Linked DNA regions of Xenopus tropicalis. The protein of the gene in region 1 purifies or fractionates together with the protein of each later gene. This does not show direct contact. Links are inferred from orthologs where the notes say so. Each region holds a gene or a part of one and is shown in the gene's direction. Other genes may lie near its edges.

Region 1 (3,500 bases):
TTTTTTTACAACAAAGTAGTGCAGTTAGCAATATTCTTACATGTAACTGTTATCCTTATTTATTTATTAATTCCCCATTTTCCCCCTCTCTATGCAGTTGGCAGGCCTGGCAGTAATGGCCGTGGGGATCTGGACACTCATTCAGAAAAGCGATTACATTAGTCTTCTGCCTTCCAACACCTATGCAGCCACTGCCTACATTCTGGTCATTGCTGGAGCCATCGTTATGATAACGGGCATCCTGGGATGTTGTGCCACCTTTAAGGAGAGAAAAAGCCTGCTCAAAGTGGTGAGTTGTCACTTTATCAGTCATTGGGTGTGTATGCTTGGGCGGCTTTATGGAATATAGCGAAGTATAATATATTATAAAATCCCTTATATACATTATCATGGTTTTCATTGCTTATTTTGTTACTCATAGCTCTTTGAGCAAGCTTTGATTAGTTGTAAGCTCTTGTGAGCAAGGGTGTGTCTTACTTGTCTGTCATAGAATGCACTTCTTCATATCATGCAATTCTTTAGGGACTTTCTTAATCAATAGTAGCTGGGTATCTGGTTTTGCTGTATACAGACCAGTCACTTAGTAGCTGCAGCCATGTACAATGCCTTATATTTAAGTTTTGGAAATTCACAAGAGGTAAATGCTCTTTATGATAGTAGCTTCTCTGTAGCTTGTACGTAATGGGTCTTTGGGCTAGTCTACCCATCCCTGTAATGCTGGTGTAATGTTAGGAATGCTGGTGGTGTGCGGATCTCTCTCCAGCATGCACTCCTCCCTAAAACTTGCCTGTAACTCTTTCATTACCCCATCTCTTTAATGGCATCCAGTAACAAGCACAGGCTGCTGCCATCTGTTGGTAACATGATAAACTACAGTCTCAAAATGCACATAATGAAAGCTTGTCTTGCTTAGCTAATAAAGCAGGCATACATTTGGTCGCGATTGGTGCAGTTTGGGAGCTGTAGCTTAAAAAATTCACAGCTATCACATCAAGATATAATTATTATGAGCAGCTCAAAGGTTAAGGGCACATGGCAGAAACCTTACAACAACCCCTTAATGAAGGTGTATATGCTAAAACTTTAGGATGTCTGTCACTTGTTGCTGTCTTCTAACATATTTAGCTGCTGGTCTGTATCACTGACTGGGTTTCCCACCACACTGGGTATTAAGTCTGTTTTTTAGTTTGTTTGTTAACTTTGAGAAAAGCTGCAGGAGTAGCCGAAACGTCAGTTCTTCGTTTTTTTCACTTAAAAAACTACTAAAATTCATGATAAGACCTGTGTGACGCGGCCCCTTTTTTGATTGACTTTGAGAAAGGCTGAGGTGTTCAGCCGAAACGTTAGTCCACCATCACATTAAAGGAATCTTTATTTTTTATCTAAGTCCTGTGAGAGCGGTTTCGTCATTTTCGATTTTGTTTCCTGTTTTTTGAGGCTGCACCCAGGCAGTTTATGTGCTTTAAATGTGAGTGCCAGTGGTTTCCATTCTTGTTTATATATATATTAATATATATATATATATATATATATATATTAATAAATATATATATATATATATAAAATCCTTATCTTATGGCGCAACTTTTTTGGGGAAAAAATTTGAAATTTTAATGTAATTAAACTTTTTTTTTTTTTGGTTTTCAGTATTTCATCTTGTTGCTGTGCATCTTTATCCTAGAGGTCCTGGCAGGAATCCTGGCCTATATTTACTACCAGCAGGTAAGCAGCTGCTAAGTGCACACATGCCGGGAAAGGTAGCACAAAGGGGAATGGAATGGAAACTTGCTAGTATTTAGACAGGCAGACCCACTCCCAACTCGCATCTGCAACCAAACTTGGACCTGCTTTTAACTACTACTAAGGTTGAACTTGATAGACGTATGTCTTTTTTTTTAACCTAACTTACTATGTTACTTGCCATAATCCCTACTGCATAATGTAACCCATGGATGTGGCATCACTATAACCAGGACGTGACGTCACTGTGGGATGCAGCTTGCCATGCCACCCTTAAGTGATGTTACCTTACCTCAGAAGTGATAAGTGATGATTTATTAAACAAAAAAAACAGGTGGAATAATTTACTGATTGAGGTCTAGGTGCCCAAGCAAGATCATTTGATTGGGACTTTTCATGTATTCTGAGGGTATCCTACCCAGTCTAATGTAAGGGACTTAGTGGTAATGGACCTTAGGGGGCCTTATGCAATTTGATCTTGAGATATATTGAGTAAAATGCTGATAACCGCACCAAGGCAGTACAGTGTTGAAGGCATAAGGGATTCTCAGCGGAAGTTCCTATTTTAGGGAAACTGTTGTAGTACAAACTCCATATATAGACTTAACTTTAACTATGACAATAATATCTTTAAAGAATAGGTCTGCCATTTGCTGGTTTGTACGTGGCAATGTAACAGATTTTATTCTCTCAGTGGGTCAATTGTGAGCTGGGGATTATTCCAGTTGTAGACTAAAACAAACCTATTTACTCCCTAAGTCTGTTAGCCTAACACCCCTCATTGAGGTCTATTGGTTTCAACCCCTTAGCGCAAGGTTGCAAAATTACTTTTGCTAAATATTAGCAAGTTTGTAATTATTACAAGATATGGGCACTGCAGGGCTAGAAGAGAATTTACCTGTATACTGGTGCCCAGCAGGTTGAGTCCTTGGAACGCTCTCACATTATGGATTCACTTTGAAACAATAAGGAGTTTTAAAATACTGACCCCATTTCTATTTGCTTGTTAGGGCCACTGTACCTAGGTGGTGGCACATTTTAGGGTGAAGGACATTTCCTAACCTCATGGATCCCCAAAACCTTTCTCTCCCTTAATGCTTAGTGCTTTTTGTGCCTGGCTTTGACAGATACAGCTGCCTCAGATTCCTGTCGTGCATGGGTGGTGTGTATCACCCTTTCTTTAGGAGGATAAGTACGGATATGCCAAGTATACTAGTGCTTTTAGCTAATCTAATCTGTATTTAATTACACTCTACCCTGCAGGCATTTAAAGGCAAGAAAATGTCTTGGTGCAGTGGGAAAGATTATAAACTTGGCAGCAGATCACTTACCAACAGGGTTTTCTTAATTACATGGAAAGCATATTCTCTGTCCAAAATCGCATCATGTGTTAACGTCACCATTTTCATGGGAAAGGAGAGGAATTTCTGATATCATTCCAATAATTTTTAAAAGATGTGCCCATCCCACTCTGGCACCAAGGATAATTCCATGGTTGAAAAATACTAAATTACTAGGCGTATTTTACTCTAGAATTACACCAACCAGCAATTCATTCAGTTGCAGTAAGACTAATACAAGCAGCAGTCTGATTGGTTGCTATAGGTAACTATTTTGGAGAAAAATTTATTAGATTCAAATTAGATACACTTTCAACAGAATTTGAATGAATCCCCAAAATAAACACTTGGCATTTCTGGGTTCAAACGATGTTTTCTTACTGAATCAGTCGAAGTTCCAAGCACCGGTTCAGTATCCCT
Region 2 (4,124 bases), on another chromosome or scaffold:
GAAGTGAACAATGGGAGTGATTACAGCCTGAGCCTGAGGTGTGAACACTGCAGGGGGTGAACCATGCAGGTATTAAAAGGTGTGAAAAACACAGGGGATTAAATTTTTAAACAATACAGAGGGATTACAGCCTGAATCTGAGGTGAGAACCATGCAGGGGGCCAGTTAATCTCAGTACTGATACCATTTAATGCTTACTCAAAGGTAAACCATCAAAGCAGCCAGACAGATGGGGGCCACACAGAGGGGGGTCGCGGGCCGCCAGTTGGACAGCACTGCCATAGACCATGGATCCCCAACCTTTTATACCTGTGAGCCACATTCAAGTGGAAAAAGTGTTGGGGAGCAACACAAGCATGGAAATGGTCCCTGGGGGTGCCAATAAGAGCTATAATTGGCTACTTAATAGCCCCTATGTGGACTGGCAGCCTACAGAAGGCTCTGTTTGGCATTATACTGGGTTTTTATGCAACCAAAACTTGCCTCCTTACCAGAAACTCAAAAATAAGCAGCTGCTTTGAAGCCACTGGGAGCAACATCCAAGGGGTTGGGGAGCAACATGTTGCTAAAGAGCCACTGGTTGGGAACCGCTGGCATAGACAGTCACTACTTATTGGCCCGGTGGGGGTGCTACTTTGGCCTTTGCGTACCTGAAATGCCAGGGCCTGATGCTGGGGTACCATTAGAATACGGCGGCACACAGATATTATTGCCACACTTGCCTGACTGGTAAAAATTAGGCTTCATGTCAATGTTATAAATAGATATAAATAAAAATATTGGAAGGCTGGTATTTTTTTCCAGAAAAGGTGGCAACCCTTCAGGCAGATGAACCCTACCCTGGGGATTGCTCGCCTGTGGCCTGAAGAATGAAACAAGAATCAGTAGAAGCGCCCAACAACATACAAACTGCTTTCAGCTACTGACTGCCATCAAACCATGTGGTACCAATAAACTGTACTGTACTACAAGCAAAGCTTATCCCCTGGAGTGTATGCCTATTGAGCTGTGGTACTGGTGCCAAGCTGTGCCAGATATCGGGAAGCGATCCCAGTGCTACTAATCAGACAGTATGGGGCAATAGCCGCCACTACACAGTGGCCATGTGGGAGCCCCTGCCCCCATCCCCCCCCATTCCCACGTAGCCAGTCCCGCCCTCCCACATCCTGACGTCACCGGGCTGGAATGCGCTTCCTGCGGCGCTTCTTGCTCTGGCTGTGCGCGTCCGTGTGAGTGCGGGGGCGCGCTTGTGGTGCGTCAGCGCAGGCTGGGTGCTACTCGGGAGGGGACCGTTACTGAGAGCGGACACTTCATTCAGCGCGCAGACCTGCCTGGGCTCGGAGGCCGCAATCTGAGGCAGCGCTTAGTCTGTGCGATTCAGCCCGGCAGGGCGCCGCTCCTGGGATCCAAGGGCCCCACGCCAAAGGTGAGCCGCCGCTCTGTGTTACCTGCATTCTGGCCCCAGTGTCCGCTCACTTGGTACAGTCTGTGCTTAGGGCATTGCTGCTCCGTATCTGCCTCCCTGTGGGGAATCCATATGGCTTAGAGAAGCCGGGACGTGTAGCAGCTACTTTGCACGCCGGGAGTTGTATTGTTTGTCAGTGATAGGTACAGGGGGGCAGACTTGGGGCTCTACAGCTGCTGGGAACTACTGCATTCACTCGCAGGGGATTGTGGGACTTGTAGTACATGCCACCTGGAGTTTTTCCATTGTGGAGTTTGTGCTTCAGTAGGTAGAGGGTTAATAGAGACTGGGGGAGGGGGTGACCTTGCTTAGGGGCAGCTTCCTATAAACTTTCCTTGTTGTGGGATCCCACCCTTCCAGGGCTGCAGCGCTCTCCCTCCTTAGTTACTGCGCTAATTACATGATCATGTGTGTAGGGGGCTCTGTGTAAGTGAATTGGGTGTCTGGCTGGGACTGTATGTACCCCCCCCCCCATAGAGACAGCAGGGAGTTTCCCTGCAGGAATGTGCACAGAGGGAGGCGGCAGAGGACATCCTGGGAGGGGTGAAGGGGGGGCAGTCTCCTTCTTTCTCTCTTTATTTTTAACAGTAGATCATTACCATAACCATAGATATTATTAACCAGGGCTCAGCCGGCCCACGCTGTCCCCTTTCCCTGTGTGTTCAGTAGGGCGCAGGGTAGTTGTGCCACGGTCACTATAAGTACAATATAGCACTGCTTCATTTGGCTGCTGGCTCCTAACAGAGTCTCCTAAGAGAAGGCGGCCCCCAGGCACGAATAATGGTTTGGCTGACACTGAGGGCACTTATATTGAGTTATGAGTGGGTGCTTGTATGTGGCTTTTTTTATTGAAGCCCGAGCAGCGTTTTAGCCCAGAGGCTTCCGAGGGTGGATGAGTCCCAAAACGTATTCTTGGCAGGGCCGGGTTCAAGGGTGGGTAACAGAGCCTAAATCTGTGCTGGGAACCTTATGAGATTAATGGTGAGGTAATCAGTATGACAAAGGAACTAAAATGTTCTGAAAGCTTGCTGTGATTATCTTAGTTAGCCAATAAAGGTATCGCCTTTATACCACTTTTATTTCTAAAGGGTTACCCTTATAAACATTTTGACTGGCTAACACAGTATATCACCTTTTCCTGCATGGTGAAGATTCAAATATAAATTCATAAAAGAGCTTTTATGAAACTCAGTGTCCCACTTTTCCTATGATTATCTGCCACCCCGGGCAGGCAGGGCCCTTTGTGCAGAGGATCAGGGTAGTCTGGATTATATAGAGGAGCAGCCACATTCTCTTTACAGATACTACACTTCAATTTAGCTGAAAGGACAACAATTACCATTTCCGCCCAGTAGGAGTGTAAAGCCACACTGGGGCTTATTGGCTTTGAGCAGCTGTGCACACAAGGTGCAAATCAGCACTCCCTGTGCCACCAGCACCTTATTTGCACCTTGATGTGACCTGCACATTGTTCATAGGTCCCAAGTGACTCCGTAGTTGTATCTAGGCACTGAGGGTCATTTATAAAATTTGCACAGTGCAGAATTATTCACACAGTGAACGTATTTACTCTACCTGTATTTATATTTATAAAGCTGGACAAGACTGGTGCGTTTAATGGGCAAATATAATTGCGAAATTTTTATTCACAGTGCAAATGCCCTTCAAGTTTTTTAAATATGGCATATTCGTAAATTGCGAATGTTTATGCGCGCAGTCTGTGTCCGCGCTATATTTATTCATAATAAATGGGCACAGAGGGCAAATCGCAGTCTCATTTGCGAATTTTTGTGCGCAATTCACATTTCACTGCGATTTGCATATATCTAGAAGGCATTTCCCTTGTGAGTAGAGGAGGCCATACCGGGCAGATTTTATCTGCCAGTGTGTGGGCACGAACAATGGGTCTGCCCGACCGAGATTTGGCCAATTTCAGGCCAGATGTTGACTGGGCAGGTTTGATTTTTCCGTCGTATCGGGAACCACATTGGCTCGTTGATGTGGCCCCTGTTTTAATTTGAATTCGCCTGATATTGCTCACCCATAGGTGAGTGTATTTGGAGAAGATACGTTTGATTGGTGACCTCGCCATAGAGTGGATCTTACCGTGTATGGCCAGCTTAAAAGTGGTAAAGTGACCCCCCCCTAGACCCTGTCTAAGCTCTAATATGAGCTGTGCTGGTTAACCCAAGATCAAACCTGTATACATCTAATCAAGATGGTGCTACTGAGAATATTCCCTAATATAGGTTTGTGTCAGAGAAAGAGATTTGTCACAGTGATTTATAAGTTAATTATCTGGAATTGTCTCCCCATCTGTGGGCAGCATGTTTTGTTAGGGTTATCAACTACAAATACATACGTTTTTTTCTTTTAGCATAGTGCTATTCTAAGGTAATTTGCAGTTGGTCTTGCATTGGTCTCTGTTTTTTATTTTCGTTCAGCAGATCTTCAGTGTTGAATTTTAGCATCTACCTGGTTGCCAGGGTCCAATTTAAACTAGAAACCAGGCAGTGGTTTGAAAGAGAGAGGGGATTATAGGAGGGCCTTAATAGAAAGATAAGTAATAAAACAATAACAAACTATTGCTCTGTGGGGCTACAGTTTAATTTTTACCTGCTGGGGTCAGCGACCCCCATTTGAAAGCTGGAAAGAGTCA

What was found. The genes of interacting proteins can lie anywhere in the genome.
Region 2: the proteins of cd151 (region 1) and itgb1 purify together in Homo sapiens (affinity purification with western blotting; 4 studies listed by BioGRID and IntAct, with this or other methods). This does not show direct contact. The link is inferred for Xenopus tropicalis from reciprocal best matches to the Homo sapiens genes CD151 and ITGB1.

What each region holds. Positions count from the first base shown.
Region 1 is NC_030680.2:31,257,974-31,261,473, reverse strand, and holds part of cd151 (CD151 antigen), read left to right. Parts: intron 1-97; coding exon 98-289; intron 290-1,647; coding exon 1,648-1,722; intron 1,723-3,500. UniProt on the Homo sapiens protein: Structural component of specialized membrane microdomains known as tetraspanin-enriched microdomains (TERMs), which act as platforms for receptor clustering and signaling.
Region 2 is NC_030682.2:22,870,724-22,874,847, forward strand, and holds the start of itgb1 (integrin beta-1 precursor), read left to right. Parts: upstream 1-1,324; 5' UTR 1,325-1,426; intron 1,427-4,124.